3 linked regions of the Tamandua tetradactyla genome follow. The protein of the gene in region 1 purifies or fractionates together with the protein of each later gene. This does not show direct contact. Links are inferred from orthologs where the notes say so. Each region holds a gene or a part of one and is shown in the gene's direction. Other genes may lie near its edges.

Region 1 (10,208 bases):
CTAGTACCCCTCCTATTTCTTTTTTCTTCACCTTTCTCAGCCGTTTTTCCCATTCTGCCTCAGACTTCTTGGTTGTCAATCTCTGTCACATCTAGTGACTGTTTTGGTTTCTCTTCCTTTTCTAACTGCCCATGGGGTCCAGAACCCCAACAATCCCTTCTTTTTACTACCTTTTTTTTGGGGGGGGGGTAGATGGAAGGGACTGAAATTGTGGGGGGATGGTAGGAGGCACATCAATAAAGAGGAAACCACCAAGCTGAACTGATTTTTGCCTTGTGTTACCCCCCCCCTCCCTTTAGCCTTTCTCAGGCGTCATGGGCTTCAGTGGTGGGGAGAGAGGAATGGATGCAAATTGTGGGATAGAAATACATTTTGGTTTATCCTTTTGAGATTTTTTCTGCATGAAAAAGAGTGCTTTTGTTATGATGGGTGATGGAATGAGAATGCTTCTCAGTATCATTTTATGAAACTTCAGTTTTATATTCATGTTTATTGGGTACTGATGTAAAAAATAGTGTTTTACTGTGGGTTCCTGTGAAGAAAGTTTGAAAGCACCTGCTTTAGATAACCATATCCAAGTTTGTTACGAACTTCTGGATTAAGGAAGAGTATTTATGTGTGGGCGGGAATAAAAAAAACTGTCCTCAGTTGCCTGTCACTTGGCCAGACTCCGTCTTGACCTGTGGGCTCCAAAGGAGTGGAATCCGAGGGAGGGCGGGAGGAGGGAAGGGATGGAGGGGAAGATGGGGGAAAGGTAGCCATTATCACTAGGAGAACTTCATCTCCCAGAAATCTCTCCTCTGCCTGGCCGGAAGAGGGGTGGTACCCTGGGGGAGAAAAAAGATGCCGAATGAGACCGATGGTGGCCGAGAATTCTAATCCCTTCTTCCTCTTCTTTCTTGGGACCGCCCAGCCTACATTTCCCAGGAGCCTGTGCGCGCTCTTCCGCTCTACTGTCTTGTTCCCAATATCCCCGCCACTCCCCGGGGGAGGGGAGCGGCTTAGTGCGCCTGTGCCAGCCTCTGGCTTGCTGGGAACTGTAGTCTCGGAGGCCTATACAATCCTCTTTCCGCTGTTCCATGTCGGACTACAAGCCCCTTGGTGCTTTGCGCTTCGGCGCCGACGGAGGGAGGGGGAGAAAAGAGAAGGGAGGGAGAAGAGAGGAGGAGGAGGGAGCAGGCGGCCGGCGGCGCGGGGGGAGGGGGCCCGGTCCGGGAGTGCGGGAGGCAGTGGTAGAGGGAGGTGGCGGCAGCGGCCAGCGGACTCGTGTCACAACCGGGCCGAGGCAGACACCTCCGTGGAGCGAGGTAGTAGGAGCACCGAGCACCGGAGGCGGTACCGGGATCCCGGCTAAGGGGAGGGGAGCGCCGGACCCGGAGGAGGGGAGGGGGCGATGCTGGAAGCCATGGCGGAGCCCAGTCCCGAAGGTGAGCTCTAGACCGGCACAGAGAGCTGAGCCGCGCGGGGCGGGCGAGGAACCAATTGGCAAACTTGGAGGTCGAGCCCCGGTGCCCAGCGGGGTAGCGCCGGGAGAGGGTCGGGGGCCTGCCCCTGGGGTGGGAGAGCGACGAGTTGAGAGACCTTGGAGAAATAGGAGTGGGGACTAGGTGGGGAGTAGTTGGAAATCAGACAGTATGTGTGTGTGTGTGTGTGTTTGTGTGTGGCGGGGGTGGGGGTGGGTGGGAGCTGGAAACACGGAGCTCCGTGTTCTGGGGTTATGGGCCGAAAGGGCCTCCCGCAGGTTGGGACCCCAGAGCTGGGAGGTTGGGGGAATCTGAAGCCCAAAGAGTTGCAGGGGAGGGAGGTCGTGGAAGAGGACTGAGTGAGGAGCCCAGTAGTTCGCCGGGGTGGGGGAGTTTGTGGTGGTGGTGCCGGTGCTCCCGGTAGTTGCCGCCGGAGATAGCCTGGTGATTGCTGGAGGAGTGGGCAGGTAGTTGTGGGGGGTAAGAGGGGTCTGGGTATTGTCTGCTGAAGAGGGACCTGTACCGATGGGTAGTTGGAGAGAGAGGGCCGGGAAGCAAGGAGAGCTGGGTAGTTGCAGGGGGCGGTGGGGCGGGGTGGGGGTGGGGGCTTAAGACCGGCGATTCGCCGGAGGAGGGGGGGTTGGTTGGCGAGGGTTAGCGCCTGGGAGTTGCGGCGGGCGAAGGGGGCGGCGGCAGCAGCGGCGGGGGTTGCTGTGAAGGGAGAGAGTCGCTGGTTGGGGGAGGGGGGCCTAGAGTTTAGGGGTCCGTAGCCTAGTGACTTGGTGGTGAGTACGGGGGCGGAGGGGGGACGGCCTGTGAGAGCTCGGAACTGGGCCCAGGGGCCCGGCGGGGAACCCAAGGAGCTCGAGACGGGGAGGGGCCAAAGCCCCGGATGGGGGCGGAGGGACGGCGAAATTGTGGGGAGCGCGGCGTGGGGGGGCAGGTGGGGCAGCGTCCGGGTTAAAGCCCTCTGGTCGGTCCCGGACGTGATGTGTGTGTCTGTGTGTTTGGGGTGGGGGTGAGGGGCACGCCAGGCCTCGTGCTCGAGTTGAAGGGGCCGGAGGGCGGGGAGAGGTTCGGCGTGGTCATATCGGATCCTGGGGGCCGGCGGGCGGCGTGTGCGATCCCGGAGGCCTGGAGCGGTAGCGCTTGGTGGGGCAGGAACGCGGGACACTGGGCACGTTGTGAAGGACAGGGGCGGGCGGCGAACTGACTCGGCCCGGGGTGCTGTTTGGCGGGGTGGGGCGCTAAGAGATCCGAGTAGTCTAGAATCTAGGGAAACCGTGAGTTGTGGGGGAAGGCGGGGCACCGGGCCTTCGGTGGGGGGAAGGGGAGCGGTATAGCGAGGCCTGGGAGGGCGCCGCGCCCAAGCTCCGCCCCTCATGGGGTGGGAGGTGAACGGCGGCGGTTCCAGCACAGCTGGGGGCCTGCTGGCCTGGCAGATGACCTGGCAGAAGAGGGGGTTCTCTTGGGATCGCCAAAGTTTCAAGGTGGGGGGTTTGCATGGACTGTTTGCTAGTACCTTGACTCAGCTTTTATTGCTTCCACAGATCCACCTCCGACCCTTAAGCCAGAGACTCAGGTGAGGTTTCCCTTGCCTTTGCAACCCAATATTCCTTCTAGCTTCCCAGCTCTTCCCCCTATCCCCACAGCTTTCCCAGATTCCTCATTCCAGGAACTATGTTTTTGGGAATGCCCCTCTGAAACCCCAGCTTCTGGTCTCCATGTGATCCATGTTTCCTTCCTTTCAGCCACCAGAGAAACGCCGGAGAACAATTGAGGATTTCAACAAATTCTGCAGTTTTGTCTTGGCTTATGCGGGTTACATCCCCCCTAGCAAAGAGGTAGGGACAGGAGAACACTTGGCTTGAAGCTGGTAGCCCAGAAGGGCTTTTGAGCAAATGGAATTGTATTAGTTTACAGGCGAGTTTAACAAATTATATGTAAGACTAGGAAAATTGGAAACTAGGTTTGTAGTGAGAAAATTAGTATCTGGGAGAATATTGGAAATAGGTGGCTTGGGTAGCAATGGAAGAGGCTGAACTTGGTTCTTGGGTCTTTAGTCAAGATTTTTGAATGGTATTTGGGATGCTGTGAATGGAAGGTCCTTCTGGATACATTTTAGGGAGCTGAAAATGGTAACAAATGAGGCTAAACAGATACAGCTAAAGAAACATGGGTCTGGGTAACAGTGTTCCAATTGCCCCAGCAGGGGAGATGGCTAGAATTTGAAGGCAGAAGTAACATGAAGTGCTCAACAAGAGATGAGGATGGGGTAGAAATAAGTTTCCAGAATAGAGTGAGATTTGGTGGATGGCTACAATATTTTGGCATAGATACAGTCTAGTTTTCAGGTTAGGTTTGTAGAGGGATGACATTGGGTCCCCTGCTGACCCTGGTCTCTTCCTCTTTTAAGGAAAGTGACTGGCCAGCCTCTGGCTCCAGCTCTCCATTGCGAGGTGAGAGTGCAGCAGACAGTGATGGCTGGGACTCGGCCCCTTCAGATCTCCGTACCATCCAGACCTTTGTTAAGAAAGCAAAATCATCCAAGAGAAGGGCGGCTCAAGCAGGTCCCACCCAGCCAGGACCTCCAAGGGCCACTTTCTCTCGCCTGCAGGGCCCTGACAGTGCCACCCTACTTGAGAAGATGAAGCTCAAGGACTCTCTCTTTGATCTGGATGGGCCCAAAGTGGCATCTCCACTCTCTCCCACATCCCTAACACATGTCTCCCGGCCCCCTACTGCCCTCACCCCAGTGTCCCTTTCCCAGGGAGACCTTTCCCAACCTCCTCGAAAGAAGGACCGAAAGAACAGAAAGTTGGGGCCAGGAGGGGGGTCTGGCTTTGGGGTGCTTCGGAGGCCTCGGTCAGCCCCTGGAGATGGGGAAAAGAGGTCTCGAATCAAGAAGAGCAAGAAACGGAAGTTGAAAAAGGCAGAGCGGGGGGATAGACTACCACCTCCTGGGCCTCCCCGAGCACCCCCTAGTGATACAGACTCTGAAGAGGAGGAGGAAGAAGAAGAAGAGGAGGAGGAAGAGGAGATGGCAGCAGTAGTAGGGGGTGAAGTCCCAGCCCCTGTACTCCCAACACCCCCGGAGGCTCCCAGACCCCCTGCCACAGGGCCTCCTGAAGGAGCCCCTCCCACTGACAGTGAAAGCAAGGAGGTGGGTAGCACTGAAACAAGCCAAGATGGAGATGCCAGTTCCAGTGAAGGGGAGATGCGGGTCATGGATGAGGACATCATGGTAGAATCAGGTGAGGGGGTTGGGGGCTGCCCAGGGGCAGGTGGGAGGAGGGGCTTGGGGAAGTCGTGGCCCCCAAGAGCTCAAGCAGGACACCAAGCAAACCTTCTTTTCCCTAGGTGATGACTCGTGGGATCTCATCACGTGTTACTGCAGAAAACCCTTTGCAGGGCGGCCCATGATTGAGTGCAGCCTGTGTGGGACATGGATCCATCTCTCCTGTGCTAAGATTAAGAAGACCAATGTCCCTGACTTCTTTTACTGCCAGAAATGCAAGGAACTGCGGCCAGAGGCCCGGCGGTTAGGGGGACCCCCCAAATCTGGAGAGCCTTGACATCACCAAGTCCAGGCTGGGACTTCCAGTTGACAACTTGACTTGGGAACTGAGCCTCAGGGTCCTCAACCCATCCCCTGGAGCTTGGACATTGTCCTACTTCAAGGCAGGAATTCCCAAGGGAGGCTTGTTTGGAAATGAGTATCTCATGGTCCTACCCTATCTTCCTCCCCACCCTCTGGACTTGAATTTGGATCCATAGCAGTTGGGGTTGGAGGTTGTCTGGGTCCCTAGACACAAAATCCCTGCCTCTTGGGCCTGCCTCACTTTCTGGGCCAGGGTTGAAATTGGGATGGGATGAGGCAGTTGTCTGTAAACTCTAGTGTAAATAGAGCACCGCCCCTTCCTCATCTTTTCTTCTTCCTATCTCCCTGTTTATTTTCTTCAACATCGGTTGTATTTTTAATTTTGGGCTTCCCCTTTTGGGCATGGCCGCTCAAAGGTGGAGTACCAGAGCCTGACTGAGGGAGGAAGAAAAGCAGAAAGGTGACATTTCTCTCATTCACCTCTTTTGTTTTTAATAATATTGGCCAGCTGTACAGACAGCCTACATGTTGTAAATAAAGCGAAATGGGCTCTTTTGTGTTTATAGCTCTCACTGATTGTCCTGTTTGGGAGGGAGGCTATGGAAAAGTGGGAAGAAAAGTCCAGGCTGGAAATGCCCCTGCAGTGGGTCTTTACCATCGGATAACTGCACAACCCCAGGGTAGGACTTGGGTCCGCATTGCCCCACCTCATCTCCAGTCTAAGACCCCCCACAAGCACACTTCAATGGATCAGAGTTGTCTTGAGCTTCCCGCCCTGATGAGGTAGAGCGGGGTGGGAGTAGGCCACCTGTTTCAGAGGGCAGAAGCCAGATTCAGCCCGGGTGCTGTGGAAGACACGGGTGGGGACACATTTTCGGGTGGGGCTGTTGAGGGTTGGGAGACCGTTGCTGAAGGCAGCGCTCATGTGGCGGGGGCGCTAGGAGGAATCAAGGAGGTCACGTGATCGGGACAAGTCACGTGACGGAGGGACAGCGGGGAGCGCGAGGCAGGCCGGGTGTGGGTCACGTGACACAGGGAGAGGTGGGCGGGGCAGCGGTGTCTGCTCGCGGCGTCGGCGGCGAAGTCTGCGGCTCTGGGTAGTGCCCCACGCCCGGCCCGCCCCCGCCACCCGCTATCTTCTCTCCCGCACTTCTCGGACGCTGCCGGCCTTGTCCGCTGTCGCGTTTTGGTGTGCGGGTGTGCGCAGGCGCGGCGTGGGCGAGCAGCCCGGGTGGGTGGGCGGCGGAGCCCGGGAGCGCGCGGACGAGACCATGGCGGGCAGCGGTGCGGGGGTTGGTGGTGTCGGAGAGACGAAGGTGATTTACCATTTGGATGAGGAAGAGACTCCCTACCTGGTGAAGATCCCTGTCCCCGCCGAGCGCATCACCCTGGGCGATTTCAAGAGCGTTCTGCAGCGGCCCGCGGGCGCTAAGTACTTTTTCAAGTCTATGGATCAAGATTTCGGGTGAGCGCGAGGCCTAGACTAGGACCGATGGGGGCTGGAGTGGATTGAGCAATATTGAGGGACACAGATCTGTTCTGAACCATACTGGGATTTTCTGGGCTTCGTGGAGCAGACTGTTCTAGGCTGGGTAGATTGACTCTCCCGGAACGGACAAGGTTATGCTTCGGCGAATGGAGGCACACGGAGCTAGCTGTAGAAGGGCAGACTGGGCTGTACTAAACCAGATTAGAGAAGATTAGGCTATACTGAACTAGAGCGGGGCACACGGGCTTATTTGGGGGGTAGACTGTCCTGAACTAGATGGATCTGTCCTTTGGTAGTTGAGTACCTTCTGAGCAGTCTTGTAGCACCCTGAGTATACAGGGATCTCTTGAGATAGATTGGGCTATCATGAGGCAATTTGGGACATTTCGGGCCTATAATGAGATAGTTTGGGGGGACAGTCTAGGTTCTACTAATGCAGACAGTGCGGTTTTGGGATGTTCCAGGCTGTCGTGGAGTAGATTAGGCTGTTCTGGAGAAACGTGGTCTATTCTGGTCTCTCCTGGGTTAGACAGACTTGTATGGTTGATCCTGGTTTGTTTTGGGGCCGCCGTGGTTTTATTAGAATACTTGATACTGGGGCAGCTGGGGCAGTTAGGGTCTATACTAGTACAGACGGCTGTATGGGGATATCTCAGTCTATACTGTTGTAGACAGCTGCAGGTGGGGGGTGTTCTAGGCTGTGTGAGATTACAGTGGGCTTTGCTGGAGTAATTTGGGACCTTCTGGACTATCCTGGGCTAACCCTAGGCTGTTTGTAATGCAGAGCAAGCCCTTATGTTTTTATATAGCCTTTGGGACAATCCCTCAGGGGCACTCAGTCTCAGTGCTTCTGGAGGCAGGCTAGATTAAGTTGGGATAGCCTGAGTTCTTGAAGAATTATGACTGTGTTCTACCTAGAAGGGCTGACTGACACTGGGAGAGCAGTGCTGTCTGGAGAGTTCCCTTGGAGTTAAATCAATGTTCTTTTATGTGTCAGCACTGTAATCTTGGGCAACATATTTAACTTTCTGGGACTTTGATGTGCATAACTGTGAAATGAAGATAATCTCTGAATAAAATGCTTAGTGGAAGTTCATGGCACACGTAAATTCTCAGTGATTAGTAATTATCATTATTTGTATCAAGGTTGACTAGTCCTAGACTAGGTTATAGTGATACAGAATAACTTGTCTTGGAGTCACTGGGCTGTCCTGAGACTGCGATTTGGGGACGGAAACTACATTACACTGAGATTAGTAGTAACTGGCTGTGTTGATACAGAACAGGTCATGCTGGTAGCAAATGGATTAAGTTGGCATATATCCAAGCTCTCAGAACCCATATTAGGCTAAAGGATTAATCAACAGGATGTCCCAATTTGGGTGTGAGAATGTGTGTATGAGAGGAAATAGAGAAACCAGAGTCTCATAGTTCATTTATTTATTCATTCAGTCAAATATTTGCTAACGCTTCCTAAGCGTTGGATACCAGCTTGTGTGGTCAGGGCCTGGTGTCCAACAGGAAGGGCATTCCTCATTTGATGTGGTGCTTGACAAGAAGGGCCAAGTCCAGTCTACCATAAGGAACCCAGTGGAGAGATGACCCGTAGGCCTGGGCTTCCCTTTTGAGCAGATTGCTTTCTGCAGAGTTCTGTGCCACGTGAGGCACATGGGAATGGGAGGATGGGCTCCTTTGCTGTGGGACCGCTCAGCCTAACGGCGAAGTGCTGTTCTTTGGACTAATGGCTATTTTCACCTAGCAAAGCAGCACGTTTGGATAGATCTCTGGAAGATTAGTTAAAGAAAAATAAAGGGGAGCATGATTAGAGAGATGAAGCCCAAAGCCTTTAGGGTAGGTGTGTGAGGAAGAGAAATGGGGGTGGGATGAGGTCACCAGCAAGGCTGGTAAGGTTGGATATGTTGGGCTCCTGGGGTGGCCATGGGAGGGTGGTTTTTTCAATTGGACTGAGAGATTTGAATCAGACTCAAGGAAATCTTTGCAGTAGCATTGAGCCCCCAAGGATGAGCTGGGGAGAGAAGTTAAAATAAGGAAAGGGAATTAATTGAGTTTAGAGCCTTCTCAGGGCAAGAGGGAGGTGTTGCAGAGTAAAAGAATACGACTTGGATAAGGAGAGAAAGTCAACATCCCTGAGCTGCTGGAAGGTTGGGAGGATGCAGAAACTTTGAAATGTGGATGGGAGCTGGGGGAAAATTGCCCAGCCTCATTGACCTTTATCTTATCTCTTTGCAGGGTGGTGAAGGAAGAAATTTCAGATGACAATGCCCGCCTTCCCTGCTTCAATGGAAGGGTGGTCTCCTGGGTAAGGGGCCCTGACTGTAAGGGCCCAGGCCCTTCCACATTGCCCAGCTCCCCCCAGCATCTGTAGCCCTCTGTTCGGTCGTGGAGGCCCTGACTTTCTGCTTTCCTGCCCATTTGGGGTCTGGATCCCCTCAGCCTTCTTCCTCTAGAGCCTCTACTGCTTGCTGCTGCTTTCTGGGCGCTTCTCTAGGCTCTCTCAGTCTCTCAGACTCTCTAAACCTCTCCCTTACTCGTAGCACTCATGCCCTGCCTCCCAATTGAGCCCGTTTTGTTATTTGCACCCTTTTAGCTAGTGTCATCAGATAACCCCCAACCAGAGATGGCTCCCCCACCAGCCCACGAGCCTCGGGCAGAACAGGTGCCTCCACCACCACCATTACCCCCTTTGCCACCAGAGAGGACCAGCGGCATTGGTGACTCCAGGCCTCCATCCTTCCAGTGAGTCCTGGGGATTCTTGAGTCTGGGGAGGAAGGTGAGGAGGGAGCCTAAGGCCCTTGGGAGGGGAAACTGAGGATTTGGAGCCCTGTCTCCCTGATGCGGGGGAGAAACCATCTTTGCCCCTCTAGCCCTAATGTATCCAGCAGCCGGGAAAATCTGGACCCTGAGACAGAGACGGAGTCAGTAGTGTCCCTGAGGCGCGAGCGACCTCGCCGGAGAGACAGCAGTGAGCACAGCGGTGAGGGGGGCTGGGACGGGGGGGGGGGGGTGCCAGACCCGAGCCTTGGTGGTGTTCAGAGCCTGAAGCCCGGCTCTTGAGGTTCCTCTTCATCCTCAGGTGGGGGCCACAGGCCCAGCGCCCCCTCGAGGCTGGAGCGCCATCTGGCTGGATATGAGAGCTCCTCCACCCTAATGACCAGTGAGCTGGAGAGCACCAGCCTGGGGGACTCAGACGAGGATGACACCATGAGCCGGTACGGCTCCTCAGCTCTCTCCCCAGGACTCCCAGCCCCCCTCCTCCTTCCTCCCCTCCCTCCTTCCTGTTAATCCTCTCCTTCTTCCCGGGACCTCTTCCTCCTGCAAGCACTGTCCTTCCCAACCCCTTGGCAGGTTCAGCAGCTCCACGGAGCAGAGCAGCGCCTCCCGCCTCCTCAAACGCCATCGTCGGCGGAGGAAACAGCGGCCGCCCCGCCTGGAAAGGGTGAGGGGGTCCCCACGGGGAAGCTGGGGACATGGGTCTTGGCTTGGGGGGTACTGGGGTGCAGACAGTGAGAATCCTCCGGGGTTGTTGAAGGGAATTCCACTCCTTCCGCTTTTCTCCACTGCAGACCTCGTCCTTCAGCAGCGTCACTGATTCCACAATGTCTCTCAACATCATCACGGTCACACTCAACATGG
Region 2 (9,594 bases), on another chromosome or scaffold:
GGGGATGTTGCCCGTGAGTCCACTGAACTGAACGCATGATTGACCCTTATGGTCCAGATAGCCCATCACTGTTCTGTGAGGGAGCAGTTTGAGCCTGGCCACTCTCTTTATAGACCAGGCACTGGTTATTGGCTGTGAAGTCTCAGGGAGGAATGTTGCTGCATGTGTGTGCGTGTCTCCCATTTTTTTCTGTTAATGTTTACATAACTTAATCAGTATTCTACATTGCTACCCTAGAATGCTCTGGAAATATAAGTGGTGGTAGAAATTTCTTCAGTTTGTCTGTAATCTCATGAGAGGCCCAGTGTGTTAGTTAGATTCAGTTGTCAACTTGGCCAGGTGAGCATACCTAGTCTTGTTGCTGCGGACATAAGCCAATGGTACGTGAACCTCATCTGTTGCTAATTAATCTGCAGTCAGCTAGGAGGTGTGTCTGCTGCAATGAGTGACGTTTGACTTAATTGGCTGGTGCTTAAATGAGAGAACACAATGTAGCACAGCCTAAGAAGCTCGGCAATTCCCATCTCAGCACTCCCAGCTCAGCCCAGGCCTTTGGAGATGCAGAAAGAAGTCACCCCCGGGGAAAGTTGTTGGAACCCAGGGGCCTGGAGAGAAGACCAGCAGAGACCATTCTGTGCCTTCCACGTAAGAAAGAACCTCAGTGGAAAGTTAGCTGCCTTTCCTCTGAAGAACCAACAAAATAAATCCCCTTTTATTAAAAGCCAATCCATCTCTGGTGTGTTGCATTCCAGCAGCTAGCAAACTAGAACACCCAGTAAGATTTTCTGCATGCCACTTCTGGAGAAGACATAAAAAGTGACATTCAATAAAGGAAGTGAGCTTTCTGCCACACAAAATACCTGTCTAAAGGGAATAAAGAATGACAAAGGAAGAGGGCAATTATGGGGGGCAGGAAGGAGGTTAGGTGTAGACCCCTGACACCAAAAGTCTACATCCACCACCCCCATCCTACAACCCGTGGTACCTAAGAAAGAGAAAGTCACACTCTCTGCCGAAGGTGAACATCTTTCCAAAAAGGTTCCTCTTGGACCTTTTGAAGCATCCTATGGCTCCTGCCCTTCGAGAAGACTGGAATGAGCTAAGCAGTATGGAGAGCCCATATATACATGCATGCACACAATGCCCATACAAATCCTTTCCTGGCTTTGCTTATGCTTTTTTTCCACCTAGTACTCTTCCTCACCTTTCCCTCTGGTCTTCTCTGAAAGCCCTGCCCACATAATATCTTTTCTAGGACACTCATATCATCTAGTCAAAATCAACTCATACCTTATGTTCTAGTTTGCTAGCTGCCAGATTGCAATATACCAGGAATGGAATGGCTTTTAAAAAGGGGAATTTAATCAGATGCTAGTTTACAGTTCTAAGGCTGAGAAAATGTTCCAATTAAAGCAAGTCTATAGAAATGTCCAATCTCAGGCTCCAGGGAAAGATACCTTGGTTCAAGAAGGCCGATGATATTCAGGGCTTCTTTCTCAAGTGGAAAGCACATGGCGAACACAGTCATAGTTTCTCTCTCAGCTGTTAGGCACATGGTGAGAAAGGCATCATCTGCTAGCTTTCTCTCCTGGCTTCCTGTTTCATGAAGCTCCCTGGGAGGCGTTTTCCCTCTTCATCTCCAAAGGTCGCTGGCTTGTGGGCTCTCTGCTTCTCGTGGCTATGTCATTCTACTCTGCCCTCTCTGAATCTCTCTCTCATTCTCCAAAATGTTTCCTCTTTTATAGGACTCCAGAAACTAATCAAGACCCACCCAAATGGTTGGAGACATGCCCCTACCTAATCCAGTTTAACAACCACTCTTGATTAAATTACATCTCCAGGGAGATGATCTAATTACAGTTTCAAACATGCAATACTGAATAGGGATTATAAGAAACAGTTGCCTTTACGAAATGGGATTAGGATTAAAACATGGCTTTTCTAGGGTACATACGTCATTTCAAACCACCACACTTTATCAGTACTCCCAGATTTCTGTCTTGATGTGTGAACTCCTCATGAGTTCTTTGTCATGTCTGGGTCCATCACATTTTTTGGTAGATGTATCTGGACAAATCTTTCAATTCAGCTCTTTTGGCAGCCACTACTGGGCACTACAGTTGACACACATGTGGATAATAGTGTTCATATACACCAATCTTGAGGTGAGTGCAGTTTGAATCCTGGCTGTGCCACTGACAAGTTGTGTAGTCTTTGGAAAGTTAGTTAACCTTTCTGAGTCTCAGTTTCTTCATTTTTAAATTGGAGAATTCTAGTAATTCCTATGTTACAGGGTGGTTGTGAGGGTCAAATGAAAGAATGAATACCAAACATTTAGAAAGGGCTGGGCACTCATTACAAGTTAGCTGTTGTTATTTGTAAGCCATTTGTCAACCCTAGTAAATACTAAGAGGCATGATGTGGGGAAATCCTGCCCCAAATCCCTAGTGGTCCCTCGCATGTGTCCAGAGCCCTTCAGGAGATCCAGCCTGGGTGGAGGCCCCAGGGTAAAGCTAGATTCATATTTGATTGAATACCTAGGACTGGGACTCAGGTGGCCATTTTAGAAATCTGTCTTCCAGAGAATAGCTACAATTCTATGAAAAGTTAGCCCTCAGCATCTTTCACCCTTCATCTTCAGGGGTATTGAGAAACTATTGCCTCAGATTTCCCAGCCTCTTCACAGGAAACTGGCTTCCAAAAGCCCAATATGTTTTTATATGAGACATCTTATCAAATCAGAAGTGTTATTCTCTGTCCCAGGGAAACCATACTTCTGGGAAATTTCTATGGGAATTATATAGAAATCAAATCCTAAATTTTCAACAGTAAGAATCCTGTATTTGTTAGCTATTCATGATGAATTTTCTTTTCACCTGATTTTCTGTCTTTGGGGGATTAATAATCTGTCTGGGAAGATGGACAGGTAAATAATTCAATGGGCCACGTGCTATAATAGAGCCATATATGACTGTACACTTGGAGTTGAAGACACCTTTCACTGTAGGGTACACCAGCAAATAAAAACAGCTTTTGGAGCCATTAAGAAATATCCTATCATTCATATGTATATATATATATATATATATATATATATATATATATATATATATACACACACACACACTAAAAACTTGATTGATAATAACATACATCTTCCCGGGGATTACTTATCAACCTCTTCTCTAAATCAAAGTTGGAGCCAAGCTTTTTTGAAGAGCCCAACTCTATTGTACCTAGTTAGTCATTCCTGTCATCAATTCTAGCTCTGAAATTTCTCTGACCTTTTCTGAGAAATTAGTTAAGTTTACATATGTGCAAGCAATGACAATTATGTTACAATATACTTCTCTACCTGGTATCTGTCTTTTAGTAAATACTATTTTGATTTCAAAAGCATTAAAATGTGAAAATCTTGGACTTATTTTTGAAGACATATGGTTTTTAAACTGCTTCTGGGTGACAAATGTGGAAATGATTAATTTTGCTTGAGGGAGGAGGTGACATTTAAGTTAAGTCTGGAAAATTGAGTATGTGTTCCAAGGCAGGTAAAAGTCTATCAAGTATTCCAGGTAAAGGGAAATCTCTATCATGATGCTTATCTCAAGTTATCCTGTTAATTGTTTTACTCCCACTAGCATTTAAGCGCCTCAAGGTCATGAACCATTTTTACTCAGAATGACTATTTAGCTCATTGTTTCACCATGTATTTATTTTATATTTACTAATTTTATTCATATTTATACTTGCTGATAAAATAGTATCTCTAATAGCTCATTGTAGAAAACTTGGGAAACACAGAGAAGCAGACAAACAAAACCTCTCATACAATTCTACTGTAATTCTGCTACCTGGAGAAATAACTGTTAAACATTTTGGTGTATATGATTCATGGCTTTTTAAAATTCATATGCATCTCTTTCTTTTTCTTTTTTTGCAAATGCAATTTCAGTGAGATATATTCACACACCGTATATTCCATCCTAAGTACTTTCTATTTTTTTCAAGCAAAAATGGTATCTTATATTGTGAGCTATTGATTGTACACCATGTATGAAATACTTGTATGTTAAGAATGTTCCTGTTTGTACTTTGTTTGGATTTGTCAATAAAAATAATAAAAGAAAAAGAAATGGTATCATACTATGTTTATTGGTTCATAATTTTGGTTTTTTTTTTTTTTTCACTTAACCATCATCTTAGAAATATGATCATTGTTTGCCTACCGGACCATCCCATTGAAGGCAATAATGTCCAGCCCCTAGGTTTTATTCCTCAGTTGGCCATACCTCCTGGCCGCAGTGGACTGAAGTAAAAGATCAGCCAACATCTGAACCAAAGACAACCCGTCAATGGATGGCCAGAGACTTAGCTATGGGGTAAAAAGATGACTGGGTCCAATCATATGCCACTCTGTGGACTATGGAATTGGAAAATCAAGGTGCTCCTCAGCCAGAGCTGTGGAGGAGCCGGAGAAATGAGAACGGAGAAGGCTGGTTCCCACAACGAGGAGGGTGGAACAGACCTGCAGAGAGGCAGAGATGCCCAGAGGAATAGAGCCATCCTTTCAAGCTTCCATCAGACCTGTTTTTGCAATTCCGGCCCATATATATCTTTATAATGGATGCCTCCCTTTCCTTTTTTCTTGAAAAAAAGTAAGATGTAAAGGAGCTTGCTTGGCTCAGCAGGCAGGGAAAGGGAGGTGGCCCACGGTTTTGATTTCAAACCGCCGACTCTGCGGCCCTTCCCTTAGAATTGCAGATAGGGCGGTGGCTCCGCTGGCGGGTCTCGGAGGCCCGGGGCGGCCCCAGTCGGTGCAAACCCGGCGGGCGGACTCCGCCTCCTTCCGGCCGCTGCTGCGGAGGCGCGGGGCGTGGGGGAGGGGGCCCGCACCCAGGGGGCGGGATGGGGCGGGGCCTGCGGCTCGGTCCCGCCCCCTTCCGCCCGCTCCCGCCGGCGCGGCAGGGCGGGGCCCCCAGGGTGGGGCCTGGGGGCGGGGCCTCCGGCGCCTCCGCGCGCGCAGTTGGCAGGAGCTGCAGCCCCCGCCGCGCGTCCTGGGTCTCTCCGCTTCCTCAGCAGAGACCCGGCTCGGCCGCCATGTCCGCCGCGGACGAGGTCGACGGCCTGGGCGTGGCCCGGCCGCACTATGGCTGTGAGTGCGGGGTTCCGCGGGGGCTCCGGGGCCAGGCCCGCTGCCTCTGCGGCGCCGTTTCCCGGCCTGGGGCGGTGGGGCAGGGCGTGCGGGCCGCGTGGACCCGGAAGGGCCGCCGGCTGGGCCGCAGGAAGCGCGGGTGGCGGGACGAGTCCCTGCGCCCTGCTCGGCTCCGAGCGGCGGGCGGACCCGGAGGGCCCCTGGGAGCCCGGGCGCTGCGACCCCGGAGCCCCACCCAGCGCCCGCCGCCCGCTCGGCCCCGGAGAGACGGCCGGGGGGGACGGCAGGACGGCACAGGGCGTGTCCTGGGCACCGAGCCCGGGCCTTACCGCGTCTTCGGGAGCCCTTCCCCGTCCTCGTGGGCCCTGCCCTGTCCTCGGGGTCCCTGTCCCGTCCTCGGGGTCCCTGCCCCGTCCTCGTGGGCCCTGCCCTATCCTCGGGGTCCCTGCCCCGTCCTCGGAGCCCTGCTCCGTCCTCGGGGTCCCTGCCCTGTCCTCGGGGGCCCTGCCCCATCCTCGGGGTCCCTGCTCCGTCCTCGTGGGCCCTGCCCCGTCCTCGGGGTCCCTGCCCCGTCCTCGGGGGCCCTGCCCCATCCTCGGGGTCCCTGCCCCGTCCTCGTGGGCCCTGCCCTATCCTCGGGGTCCCTGCCCCGTCCTCGGAGCCCTGCTCCGTCCTCGGGGTCCCTGCCCCGTCCTCGAGGGTCCCTGTCCCGTCCTCGGGGTCCCTGCTCCGTCCTCGTGGGCCCTGCCCCATCCTCGAGGGTCCCTGTCCCGCCCTCGGGGTCCCTGCCCTGTCCTCGGGGGCCCTGCCCCATCCTCGGGGTCCCTGCCCTGTCCTCGTGGGCCCTGCCCTATCCTCGGGGTCCCTGCTCCGTCCTCGGGGTCCCTGCCCTGTCCTCGGGGGCCCTGCCCCATCCTCGGGGTCCCTGCTCCGTCCTCGTGGGCCCTGCCCCGTCCTCAAGGGTCCCTGTCCCGTCCTCGGGGTCCCTGCCCTGTCCTAGGGGTCCCTGGGTCTGGGGGCCCTGTCCTGTCTTCGTGGCCTCTGTCCCGTCCTCGGGGGTCCTGTGCGCTCCCAGGCCAGTGGGGAGGTGCGGCCTTGGGCGAGTCACTTCAGCTTTCTAGGGTTTAGTTCCCTCTTCAGGATTTGAAAAGTAGAAAAAGAAAATCCACCCTTGGACTTCCTCATTCTTGGAACCTCCTTTTCTGTGGGTCCATGAGACATTATTAAACTGCAGGGGCTGGTACCACGGCCACAGGGGGTCCTTTTGAGTCTTTGGCGGTTTCATGTGTATTTATATTTGGGAATAAAATTTTGTTTTTAAGATAATTTTGCTCTTAAACAGTTATGTGTGAGGGATTGTGCCACATCTGGGAAATTGAATATGGGCAAGATTAGGTCCTGCCTTCAAAGAACATTTAAAATTAGAGACAAAGAGGTCTGCAACCTAATGATAATAAGGTGTGGTAAAGATAAAGTACGTGTGACCTGACTGGTCATAAGCAGTAAACAGTGAGTGAAGAGGAGGGTTTGAAGAAGGCAGTGTGAGCACAGGTGTTGACACTTGAGCAGCGACGTCCAGGAGGATGTGTAAAGTTTGACAGGGTGGGGTGGGGCAAGACACATGAAGAGGGAAGAGCACGAAGGAAGGTCATAAAGAGGAGGGCACTGTGCACAGTGGTGGGGAAAGGGCAGGGAGAGGGAAGAGATGTGTTTCTCTTGTTGGGGCTAGTTGTTGGGGCTAGATTGAGAAATCTAGCTCTGCCAAGGAGTTAGGGTGCTCTGGGTGTCCGTGAAGGAGGCACATTGCTTCCAGGGTAAGCTCACAGGCTTTGGAGGCAGACTGCCTGCGTTAGCTGTGGGGCTGAGCTCACCCAGCCTCACTTTCCTCATCTGTAGAATGGGAGTGATAATCACAGGGTTGTTGTGTGGTTTCAATGAGAGGATGCATGTAAAACGCTTAGAACAATTACTGCCACTTTGTTCTCAGTAACCGCTGGCTTTGGTTGTTCGTGAAATAGGGGAACAACAGGGTCAGATCTGTATTTAGAAAGAGTTCTGGCAGACAGACAAGGACAAATTTAGGCCCAAATCTCAAGAAACAGTATTTTTCTAGGTCACGTTAAAATTGAGTACGTGCTCATATTGTACCTAGAAGAGAGTGTAAGATTAGTGTAGTTGAAACCCCTCAATTCTTGTTTCAGGAAAGCCACTGTAGTGCACCTGGCGATACATGCAGCCCATGGTTACCTTGAACCTCTAGTGACTCACAGGAATTTGATGCTTTGGCATTCTTTTATCGATCAGGAAGGTTACAGAGCCCCACGTTTACGTTCTTCTTTTTCATGTTTCAGCTGTCCTGGATAATGAGAGACTTACTGCAGAGGAGATGGATGAAAGGAGACGTCAGAATGTGGCTTATGAGTACCTTTGTCATTTGGAAGAAGCAAAGAGGTAAGGATTGGCTGGCTGGAGAGACGATTGGGAGAAGGAAACTGATGTGATATGGATACAGATAAAGATCTCTGAATGTGTTGTAGGTGTGACTGAGGCTGATAGTCTAAGGAATAAATATAGGCATGTTATTTACTCATGGGAGCGACTGGTCTTGATGGCAGCTTATTATGAAACACTGGTGGACATTTATGTATACTGAAGAATTTTCAGATTTTTGCTGTTCAGTTTAATATTTATGGTGCATGTTTTGGACATGATCAGCTGTAGGAAAGAAATAGCATTTTTAGAATTTGAAGTTCTTGGCTTTTTTAATGTCTCGTTATCACTGGTTTTGGTTTATGTATGAGTTGATTCCTTTCTCCCCATGGCAGTGGAGGGGTATGTGGTTTAGGAGGCTTAGGAGTAGGGAGCAGTGATAAAAGACAGGTAACTAAAGGTGGCATCCTCTTCATTCTTCGCGAGGATCAGGTACTCCAGGGTTTTGTGGGCTTCCTCTTCGAGTATGGATTCATTTCACCATCAAAGGTCCAGTTCTTTTGTCCCAGTGTTTGTGGTTCCTTTGCAATTACATCTTTCCAGGGTAGACAGATGTAATTACAGATCATATATTCTGTAAGTCAGAGTTTTGGTGGAAAAGAGTAGGGAGGGTTAAAGAAAGACACTTGCAATAAAAATTTAATAAAAATCAAGGATGCTTCAAATGGTGCTAAGATATAAGAGTGTTTCTTTTTAGTTTTGAGAACTTTAAAAGTCTATAGAAAAGTTCAAGGAACGATAGAGCAAACATTCATGTATCTACTGCACTTCAGATCTTTCCCTTTTCTCTAAAAAGAAATAAACATAGACAGTAGGAGTCCCATTTGTATGTGTCCCTGGTCCCGTTTTCCTTCTTCCTTCTCCTAGAGCGACCACTAGTATGCATTTCCTGTGTCTTCTTTAGACCCAGGCTTCTTTTCTGAATTTAAAGCGCATCTGAAAGACTGGGGATGGGAGGGGGAAATTAGTGATGATTTAGAAGGAAAGGTCAGCCAGCAGGAGGTGAGTATGTTACTAGAAAAGGGATGTTTGGGCATATAAAGTTTGTAGGCCCTCTGCCACTTAAATTCTGAGTATCTAGTTTTGGAAGGTCAGAGGATTTAAAGCTGCCTGTGGTCCAGGGGATTATTTCATGCTCTGTGGACCCTTGGCAGCTCTCAGGAGGCAGCCCAGGAATGGGGAGGAGGAATTCCAACACGCAGTCCTTCCCTCAGTCTGAAGCAGCTCTACTTTTGCTTTAATCTTTGGTTTCCACCGTAAAATTCCCGTTTTATAGAAGGTGTCCTGGCTAACACCTCCCTTTTCCCAGTGCCACCATGAATCTAGCTCAACCATTTCATTTCAGTGAAGAAAGTAAGGCTCAAGTTTTCTTAGTCTACTTGTGGTTTTCTTGACTGAGGTTTCCTTTAGTTTATACAGTAACTCTTTCTCCCCTTCCCTTCCTCCCTCCCTCCCTTCTTTTTTCTTCTTTTCAAATAAATTTTATTTCAAAATTTAGAGATACACTATGTACCAAACAACAGTTCCCCCTCCCCACCTCCCCCCTCTCCTGTTCTTTCTCTATAAACTTATACAATGGTTCTTAACTTGCTTTGCATTAGAATTACCTGGGGAACATTAAAGAAAGCTACTGATATCTGGGCCTTATCACAGAGGTTTGGATTCAGTAGGTCTGAGCTGGAGGGGCTTGACACCCATATTTTTTAAATACCTCTGGTGGTTCTGTTGGTCCCTCTAGTTGAAAAGCAGGATTTAAAATATTCACTTACCTGATTAGAATTCTGCCTTATGCTGGGTGTTGATAGGCTGAATAGCATGATGCTTTTTATCACATATCCTGCCTCAGGTGCTGCACTAGCAGGGCATTTCATTTGTGTCAACTCTGAAGCATGCTTTTTTCTGTCAGATTTTTTTTTTTTCCAGTTAAGAAACCCATCCAGGGGACTATGATC
Region 3 (9,894 bases), on another chromosome or scaffold:
CATTCCTTTTTCACAGATGGGCTAACTGAGGCATAAAGAGATTAAGGGATGTAGAACTGAGGTCTCTGATTCCTAATCCAGCCGTCTCTCTGCGGCTCTCTTAGGGTTCCCGTCTCGTGAATGCCTGTCTGGTGCTTTAGTTGAACCTCTTTCTTTCAGCGCCTCTCTCAGCGGTAAATGCAAGAAGGGACATCCTCTTCTAGGAATATCTCACTGTTACAGGTTCCATGCACTGTTCACGGGAACTCTAGACTTGGGATAAGAAAGGAATAAGTAAATGGTTTATTCAAAAAACATTTATTATATAGCTCCTAAAAGTTTTATCTTGATTTTAGCAAAGCATTTTATGATCGTTCATGATATCTAATTAATTAATAATTAAGCACAATTATTAGATGAATTTTTAAATAATTTCAACAACCCCACCCAGTTCTCCAGCGACTTTCAATATCAAAGAGAAGCAAACCTTTACATCATTACTCTCAAGCCTTATATGACCTGCCTCCTACCACCTCTGCAATTTCACCTTTTACTCCTTTCCTGCTCTTTCACAAAGCTCCGGAAACATGGATTTCTTTCTAGTTCTAATGTATGCCAATCTCACTCTGCCCTTGGAGTATCTGTATTTGCTGTCCCCTCTGTATGCAATGCCAGCCCTTCAGGTCTTGTGCACAAGTGGCGCCACCTTTTCATTCAGTCATCTGCTCCTTGTTAAGTGAAAAAAATAGGTTAAGAGTAGTGTATATAGTGTGCTACCCTTTTGTAGTATTTTCTTAAAAACTGTGTACACACACACACATGCAAGCATACAGAATATCACCGATAAAATGCACGGAAAATTGACAGCAGCAGTTTCCACTAGGGAGGAGAACTGTAGGACAAAAGTAGCATTAAGACATTTTGTTTTCCTTTCTTGCATTATTTGAATTGCCTACCATCTGGATGTATTCCCCATGAACATAACCAAAATATGTGTGAAAGAATGCAGATAAAAAGAATTCACTGGATTGTCTGGAACTAACAAATTGGAACTATAGCTGGAAAATGTATTTAATAGTTCACTTAGATTCAATAAATCAACTGCACAGGTTCCGTTAAGGTGGCTCCTGCTTGAAAGCAGTTCATCTGCCAAACACCTGCGGTTTCATTGACCCCAAGCTCCATGTGACCCAATTCTTCGCTGTGTAAAAAGTGAAGGTACCTCACAATAGCAATGACAACAATGAAAATAAAAAATTATCATCTGTCAAATTAGTAAGGATTCAAAAATGCTCTAGAGAGTTCCCTGAGGCAGGTTCTCTCAGTCACTGCTGGTTACAGTGTAAATTGGCAGGCACAACTGTTTCAAAAAACGTTTTGGAAATAGGCATCAAAGAGTCTAAAAAATATTTATGCCCTTTGATATAATAATGTCACTTGTAGGAATGAGTGCTCATGCAGTCATAACAAGCATAAATATGTTTATTATTTGTAACAGAAAAATTATAAATTTTCCAAGCGTTCCATAAGAAGGGAAAGGTTAATAAATTTTGATAGAAATGATGAAACCACAAAAAAAATTTGTGAAGTTTTAATGGCAAGAGAAAACTGTTCACAAGATAGCATCAGGTAAAGAAAGGTTGGATAACAGACTGCACAAAGGGTTATTGTACACAGTACTGTCACAACTATGTCCAAATTTAAAAAGAAAAAAATGAAGGAAATATACAAAAATGATAAGTAGGGTGGTTTTCTGGGTAATGAAATTACGGGTTATTTAAAACAAGATAGAAAAATTTTGTTTTCATGTTTGCAAAATTGTTGACAAAGAGCTTATGTGACTCTTCCAATTATAAAAAAAATAAAATTTTACAAACCAAATGCAGTCCAAGGTTTCATCAAATATATATACATATATATATAGCGTCCTAATCAGTCTACCCAAACATATTTCTGAAAGTGTCTTTTTACTCTTTAGTATTGGCAAACATTAGCATGTAAGGTGGCAAGTCGGATGACCAAATATTAGACTCTCAATTTTAGAAATATTGGAGCTTATTTAACTGATTTTATTTAAGGTATAATTAAGGCAAACATAATTTTTTTTCCCCACTAAATCATTTAATTCTAGCTTAAAAGAGGTAGACGTTAACAGGGGAAGAAATCAAGAGAAAGCTTTACATAATTTATTTGTGGAGTAATCATATGGCCTCTGGTAGCTCAAGAAATGGCATCAACTCCCTTTGGGATGCTGTGGGTGGGTCATTCTCTTCAGGAGAGTGGTTTTTGGGCGGGGAGGTGGGACATAAATGGAAAGTCAAGCGGGGAGTGGGGGTCTACCCTGGCACCCTGGTCAGCCAGACCCACCCTGGCTTTCAGTAGGATGGCAGATGGTACAGCCAGATTGTCCCACCAGACTGGAGCTACTAACTAAAACAATTACATTCAAGAAGGAATAAATTCATGTTACAATCAGATTCCTCGTATAGCTGGGGATGCTGAGCGTAATGTTCTAATTGGTTTAAGTTGTGAACAACTCGTGCGGGAGGGGCAGAGAAGGGGGGAGGTCAGAGCAAAATAATTCAGGACACAAGCCACCAATGCTCTGAGATACTCCAGTTTACTCTCCACCACCCTGCCACCCTCCCAGCCCTGCCATCTGATCCCACTTCAGAAACGTCCCTTTACTTTTACCCATGGGTGTTTCCTTGAAATCAGAGAAAGAAAATTTGGGTCCTTGGGCAAAATAGAGACATGGTTTTGTGTGGGCCTATACTCTACTTTTTTTTCACACTTGAATGAGTTACGGACAGTTAAAAACTGGGAAATTTGGCATGAGATAGGGATTTCTGGCTTCTCTTAAAAAATTAAATCTAGCAACCATGAGCTGGCATTGTCATATGGCAACGGTCGGCCAGAGATGGGTGGCAGATGCCCCTTCTCGATGGCACAGGCTCACGAATTTGTCATTCTCCTCTCAGACAGTTTGCTCATTTGGGGTTCCTGCCTGGCCCCTGAATGCATTCTTTGCCCTGATTGATAGATTGCTATCCCCAGTCGGGGCTTTTAGAGGCCAGAGTGTTTCATAAAACTAATAGAGCAGCCCTGAGCTGCCTAGGATAAAAAGCCTCCCTTGGTTCAAAAACTCTCAGAAGCAGCACTTCAAGTGATCTCCGTAAAGACAGACCTGACTGAGCACAGTAACCACGCCTGAAGATATGCTGAAAGAGTAGAGAGGGAGGGACGCACCTGGGGAAGTCAGGGCCAGAGTGGGCAGGTAGCTAGAATGCAGGGCCTTCGAACATTGGGGCATCCTACGGGAAACTCTCAGTCTAGTATTTGGGACTTAGTAGAAAGTTAATAAATATGGGTTTCCATTCTCTGAAGAGCAGATGCAGAGCACAGCAAGGAGGAAATAGAGACAGAACAGTGTAATGTAACGCACAAAAGCACAGCACGCCAAGAGAGAAGGAGGAAGGAGGTAATTGTAGCCTAGAGAACAGCAGCAGAAACAGAATAGGCCTAGAGAAGTCAGGATGACAGAGCCAGGTACTGTAATAACAGGGAACTGTGTAATTGCTGCATAAGTCTGATAGATCTTTGCTAATCACACATCTATATGATAAGTAGGAGAAGACAGTAGATGGAGACAACATTAATCAAGCAGTTCAGGCAGAAAAGCACACCAAGACACTATGAGAAAAAAAGTCCTTCCGTAAAAGCCGGTTGGTTAAAGCTGTGAGTTTTGTATGCACAAACATATGCAGAATATGTAAAATGTACAGACTAGCTGTATTGAGTTGAAGAACGCAATTGCTAGCATTAGCTGAAATAAGGTAATCGTTGAATAAAATTTTAGCTTTGGTTTACCAACGGTATGGCTTTCGTTACTTTAGAATAACTTCTTTATTTCCCAAGCCCCAATTAAAAAAAAAATCAGTTACTAACATATAAAAATACCTGAAGCACGTTGTCACTGTAATAATAGCCTGTCACACAATGTTACACAAAGGGTGCTGAGCAGACTGGAAAGTTACAGATGCAATTACTTTGTTCCTGGCCCTTTACTTAGGGTCATAGCCAAGTAGTCACTGTTAAACACAGGGTAGCTATGGCAGTACTTATTTCTTTAAATATTTAACGGTCTTGAGAGGCAGTGGCTGGCAATAATATGCAGATGTTCTAGAATGTTATGAGTGCTTAATAAACTTTGAAACAATAAAATCCAGGATGAGGAAAAACAGCAGCCAGTGAAGCTATTATAACTCTAAAATATTTTAGAGCCATAATAATACAGTAACGATTTAGAAAGGTATAAAAAGTAAACATGGTGTATTGATTAAATCATAGGACTAAAGGAATACTGATTTACCCAAAATTCCACGCAGGGAATTTCCTCTTAACCCCTTAGGAGAACGAAAGAAGCTCTGGGAAATGTGGACAGAATATGGATTTAAAAACAAAACAAGGCTCAAAAAACAAAACAAACAAACAAACAAAACACACCTCATTCTACTCGTTCTATTTCTACCATGTGGAGCTCTGCTGAGAACAAACGGCGGCTACGTCGCGTACAATGGAGTGGGGTCAAAACTTCCTTCAATCCGGCACTGATGAGTAAAGCCCTCCGACTTCCAGATGCCTTCCAGCTTTGGAGGGCTTAGCTATGGAAGAAGAGGCACCCAGATGCGTGCGTGCGACACCTCCATACGCATGACGCGACACAGTGGCAACGGGAACCAAACGCTTTTAGACCTAGAGAGGAAGTCCTTTATCTATATTTAACTAAACTCGGCAAAACATGAAGTAGTCTTGGGGACCTCGACCGAGGCGCTTTCGGGATCTTCTGCGCAGCCTTCTGAGGCTGGAGAGCGCAGCGGCGTGGGCGGAGGACCCCGCGCTCTAAGTTTGGAGAAGGAAGCCAGAAGAAAAAAAACAGAGCTGCCCCTTTAAGAACTTCTTTTTCCTTTTACTCTATGTTTACATAACACGGGGGCCGATCCGCCGCCCGGCGCGAGGTGGGGGGCGGGGAGTGGGCGCCGGTGGCCCCACGCGCCCGGGCAGGCGCTGCGCAGCGGGCGGGGTGGGGTGGGCGGCGGCAGGGGCTCCCCGGGGCAGCGAGGCGCGGCGCCCACCTGCCCACGCGCCGCGAGGGCGGCCCCGCGGGCCCTGCCCCGCCCCTCCCCCGCTCTCTGCCCCCGCCCCTCCCTCGCTCCCCCCTCCCGCGGGGCTCCGGCGGCGGCGGCGGCGGCGGCGGCGGCGCTGGCGCTGGGCGCGGGCAGGTTCCCCCTGCTGCCGGGTCCCATTTGTTGCCGGGTCCGGCTCGGGGCGGCCGCGGCGCGCGGAGCTCCGGGGAGCCCGGTGGGGCAGCCGCGCAGCCACGACGGAGCAGCCACGGGACTGGCCGCCTCGCGCCCCCTTCGCCGCCGTGCCCTTCCCCGGCGCGCTCACCCCCTTCTCGGGATGGGATTGTAGCGGCGGCGCGGACTCGGAGGGGATCGCGGCCGAGGCCGAGCGCGGCTCCATGTTTTCCCCCGGCCAGGAGGAGCACTGCGCCCCCAATAAGGAGCCGGTGAAATACGGGGAGCTGGTGGTGCTGGGGTGAGTCCGGAGACCTCCGGCCCGGGTGGCCGCTGAGCGCCTGCCTTCCTGAGTGGGGCCCGGGGTCGGGTGGCGCGGGCGCGCTCTGAGGACCGCGGGAGGGGACGGGACGGCGGGGCCGGGATGCCCCCACCAGCTCGCGCGCGCGTGGGGCTGCGGCGGGCGCCGGGCTGCGCGGTCCGCGCGGGGCCGGCCGCCGAGGAAGTGGCGGAGCCGGGTCGGCGCGGTCGCCGGGGCTGGCGCGGGCGGCGGGAAGGGCCCCGGGGGCGGGCACTCGGGCGACCCAGCACCCCGCGGGGCTCAGCGCGCGGCCACCGGGTCCGCGGTCCGCCGTGGGCTGGAGTTGAGCGGCGCTGCCGCGGGCGTCTTGCGGTCTCGAAGGAGACCCCCCCCCCACCTCCCGCCACACACACACACACACACACACTTCGCGGAGAAGGGAGGGCCACCCGGGCTGTCCCCGGGGATCTGTGTCCCTGCGGAAGGCGAGCCGGGGACCCCGCAACTCGGAGAGTGGCGCCGCGGGGCTGTGCGATCTGCCAGGCGGGCGTCCTCGGGCTGCGCTTTGCATATTGTTATGGTGACCGCGGCGGACAGCCGGAGCCCGAGGGCAGTGAACTGTCTGTGACCCAGACGGGCAGGCCGATCCTCCGAGAGTGTCCTGGGGTGGGGGAGAGGGACGCGGCCGCCCGGGGCTCGGGCACCGGAACGCGGGGCCGCCCCTCGTGGCAGCGGCCGCCCCGGGGGACAGCGCGGGGGGCGCACCCACCTCGCCCGCCTCGGCTCCCTCTCCTCTTGTGCAAACCACATTTTGAAGATAGTAATTATCTACAATCGTTAAACGATGGCAATTAGCGACTTGATCAACTTCCTGAGTTTCCTTGTGACATTTCTATTGTTTACCCTTAATAAACCGGGAGAGAGGCTTTGCCAGATTAAAACTGGATAAACTGGGCAGTGAGAGGGGAGCAGCATGGGGAGGGGGATGGGAGCAGGAAACTCCGGGGAAGAAGCAACTTGGGTTTAGCATTGGAGGAGAAAGGATTATTTTTTTTCCTCCTTTCGATACGTCGCTCGTGGGAACCCGCGCTTTTGTTGAAAGATCTGTATTCCTAGCATCATAGGCGCTGATAGGTAGGCTTAGCACACTCATGAGGAGCCGTGGCTATGGGAGAACTCAGGGAACTGTGTGAAAAGGGTTTTGATATTTCGAAACCCTGAAGTATGGACTTAAAGGTAATTTTAAAGAGAGGAATTTTTAAGAGAAGCTTCCAGACCCAGTACAACTGAAAATTTTCAAGTCTCTAAGTGGACCATTATTAGAATCTCCTTACCTGTTTTGAAGCTGTTGGCAGATAAGCATTTTTATCACCTGCGTGGACATTGCACTTAAAAGCCTCACATGTCAAGGTTCCTTGGAAGAAGGGAGGAGTGACAGGGAAAAAGCTGGAGTTTTGTCGCTCTTATGTAACTTCAGCCCAACTTAATTTTGTAGAGTTTGGTTTTGTTTGTGTGGCTGTCTTCCAAGTATGTTCAACATGGTGAACCTGACAGGAAAGATTGATTTGTGCCAGAACTTTATTTCGTTATTTCCTTTTGAGGAAATTATTGTTGAGATGCTTTAGAAAAGAAGTGTGTTGTGAGTGGGCCTGGAGAGGTTTTGTACTCATAGCTGGAAGTATTGGACATTCCAAAGCCATGAAAAGGATTTATACCCTGAATTGTCCTAGTATCAAAAACTTGTGCTAAAGTAGGCTGTGTAAATGCGTTGCCAATTGCATGTGATTTGTCCTTTACTAATGCTTTTCCAGGAGAAACAGAGTATGACAAAAAGTGACTTACTCTTTGGGGCTAGATACTCAGCAGTTATCTGTGCACCTATTATGTGCCAGCACTGTTTAGACATCGGACAGACAGCAGTGGAACATGGAACTTTCAATTTAATCCAGAGTGAAAGGCATAAACAGAAATAAGCTTGTAAGCAAGGGAATAATAAATAATAATTTCATGCACTTCCAAGACCTGACAAGTAGTTGGTTAATGTAAAGTGCCTGCTTTAGCTAGACACTGCTTTCTTTAGCAAGGAGGTCTGGAAAGGTCTCTCTGAGGAGGTGAAATGTGAGTTGAGACCAGACTATTGAGAAGATCTTAGTCTGGTTTTTGAATACTTGAGAAGAATTGTCATTTTCTTTTTTTGAGAGATTTCTACCTCTTTAACAGTATTGATCATTGAAGAATGCAGATAAAAGAGGGAGTAGATAGGTGGGCTATAAAGGAATCCTTATTAAATCATATCCCATCCTTGGGAATTGAAACAATGTCCTCTCTCTTAAAACAATTACAATTAAATAAAAACGCTATGCATGACATAACTATTGGCATATAGAGAATTCCTAGTAGATATTCTTATTGATAATTTCTTTCTTGAGATCAAAAAATGCCAAATTGCTGATATTGATAGAAACTTTTGCTTATGACAATGATTTATACTGTTGAGTAACTTTGTTCTTTTTGCTCTCTCCTGAATTTTGTAGTAAAATGTCACTAGGAAATGTTCTGGAGAGCAGAATGAAGAGCTGATATATGTCTGCTACATCCATATTGAAATATTTCTGCATCTTTTCGTATGTTACACAATATCATGAGAATGTCAGGCAGTTAGGATTTTAGTGGGGTCAGCACTTTCTTGGCAGATGAGTGGAATTTAGCTATTTCATAATTCCTACTAGCTAATGTATCATAGCCATAATGCTTCGTTATTCCCATGACATAATTGAAGGTAGAACAAATGACTGGTCTAATCACCATGTCTTCTTTACTATTAAGTTTAAACTTGGTTAAAATTTTAAAGCTGGGAAAGTGTGTCAGGATCTAAGAGTCAATTCAGTGTAGAGGGAAGAGCATGAATTTACGTCATACGTAAGGCTTGGATTTAAGTCCTGCTCTCTTGCCTTACTGGCTTTTTGATTTTGGTTTAGTCCTTCATCCGATTTCTTTATCTAGAGCAAAACTGGATTGGATTAGGTGGCCTTTAAGGTCTGCACTCTGTAATATTGCTCATTGGCTCACATGAGGGCAAATGTATAGTTACACATTCGAAGTAGCCTGTCGTTTGCTGGTTTTGTTTATTCTTGTGGCGACAGGGGCTCGAATTCAAATGAGTACTCATACTTTTGTTTTAATAGCAGAAAGGCCAATGCTGTATTGCTTTTTATGAAATAGGTATGCGCGAAACAGGCTGAGTTTCTGTTTTTTTTAAAGTGTTAATGGCTTACATATATTTGGCTCTGGTGTTAAGTTGTACGTAAGAACATTCAAATTTGGTGAAACTTCTGTTTTGAGTTTAAGAAGGACAGTGATGTAGGAATTAAGCTAAATTGGTCTGAAATAACCAGCACAAGGAGAAGATGATCTAGTTGTCTGTTGCTTTTGGAACTGGAAGGGGCGTAAGAGATCATAGTACATGTTCAGCCTCTTGATTCTACTGTTGAAGAAGCTGAGGCCTCAGGAAGGAGATTTGTTTAACTTCCTACTTGAGTCAGGCTGAGCTGGAACTATGAGCTGGATCACTGGACTACAAGTTTCAGGTTACGGTTCCTGCACTGAAGGGCACATTCCAGTGGTGTCAATTCCTGAGAGCTTCAATTATTTGTAACTTGCACGAGGGGCAGCAGGTCCCCTTTCTGGGTTTGATTTGAAGCATGTGGCTCTGCTCCTTGCCGACTAACATCCCGTCATGGGACATATTTTTTGGAAAAATATTGCTTGCTCTCTTCGTTCCCCTCCCCTCACAGTTGAATGGGTAATGCAGTTTTCAGGGCTTTCTATTTTTCACTCGATGTTTTACAAACATGTATTTTTGTTGGCTTTCATAACGTAGGGTCCATAGATGGAGCTCAGGGAGCTTTTGAACATGGCTGGGGGAGAAAAAACATCTTTATTTTCGCTATACTCAAACACTGAAATTTTGTATTTCATTCAATTATATGTGTAGGTGATGAAACACAGCAGCAATTAGCAGCACTTGCAACTTCGTGGCTAATATAAATTGCAGATATTTTCATATCACATTTATAGTTGTACAGATGTCTCAAAATATCATTTACAGTAGCTACTAGACCCACTGCTAGTTTTTTTATTTAATGCATTAATACATTAATGCGTTTATTAGTATGTCACATTTTTAAAGCTATTTTGATGACTAAGTATAATTAATTTCATTTGTAATCATTCGTAGTTTATTTTCTGCATTTAATTTTTTTTTCCAAGAAGGGCTTCACACTTCACCAGGTTGTCAAAGAGATCTTTGGTGCA

Evidence for each region. Proteins that work in one complex are often made in the same cells at the same time.
Region 2: the proteins of DVL2 (region 1) and IQGAP1 purify together in Homo sapiens (affinity purification with western blotting; 3 studies listed by BioGRID, with this or other methods). This does not show direct contact. The link is inferred for Tamandua tetradactyla from reciprocal best matches to the Homo sapiens genes DVL2 and IQGAP1.
Region 3: the proteins of DVL2 (region 1) and PELI2 purify together in Homo sapiens (affinity purification with western blotting; 3 studies listed by BioGRID, with this or other methods). This does not show direct contact. The link is inferred for Tamandua tetradactyla from reciprocal best matches to the Homo sapiens genes DVL2 and PELI2.

What each region holds. Positions count from the first base shown.
Region 1 is NC_135332.1:61,099,527-61,109,734, reverse strand, and holds the start of DVL2 (segment polarity protein dishevelled homolog DVL-2), read left to right. Parts: upstream 1-6,111; 5' UTR 6,112-6,335; coding exon 6,336-6,529; intron 6,530-8,803; coding exon 8,804-8,873; intron 8,874-9,161; coding exon 9,162-9,310; intron 9,311-9,418; coding exon 9,419-9,549; intron 9,550-9,648; coding exon 9,649-9,784; intron 9,785-9,920; coding exon 9,921-10,011; intron 10,012-10,138; coding exon 10,139-10,208. Other genes in the region: PHF23 (PHD finger protein 23), read left to right, coding at 1,394-1,427, 3,014-3,045, 3,215-3,307, 3,880-4,717, 4,824-5,038.
Region 2 is NC_135338.1:98,909,598-98,919,191, reverse strand, and holds the start of IQGAP1 (ras GTPase-activating-like protein IQGAP1), read left to right. Parts: upstream 1-5,005; 5' UTR 5,006-5,097; coding exon 5,098-5,152; intron 5,153-7,503; coding exon 7,504-7,603; intron 7,604-9,594. UniProt on the Homo sapiens protein: Plays a crucial role in regulating the dynamics and assembly of the actin cytoskeleton.
Region 3 is NC_135338.1:9,629,650-9,639,543, reverse strand, and holds the start of PELI2 (E3 ubiquitin-protein ligase pellino homolog 2), read left to right. Parts: upstream 1-5,305; 5' UTR 5,306-5,503; coding exon 5,504-5,580; intron 5,581-9,894. UniProt on the Homo sapiens protein: E3 ubiquitin ligase catalyzing the covalent attachment of ubiquitin moieties onto substrate proteins. Involved in the TLR and IL-1 signaling pathways via interaction with the complex containing IRAK kinases and TRAF6.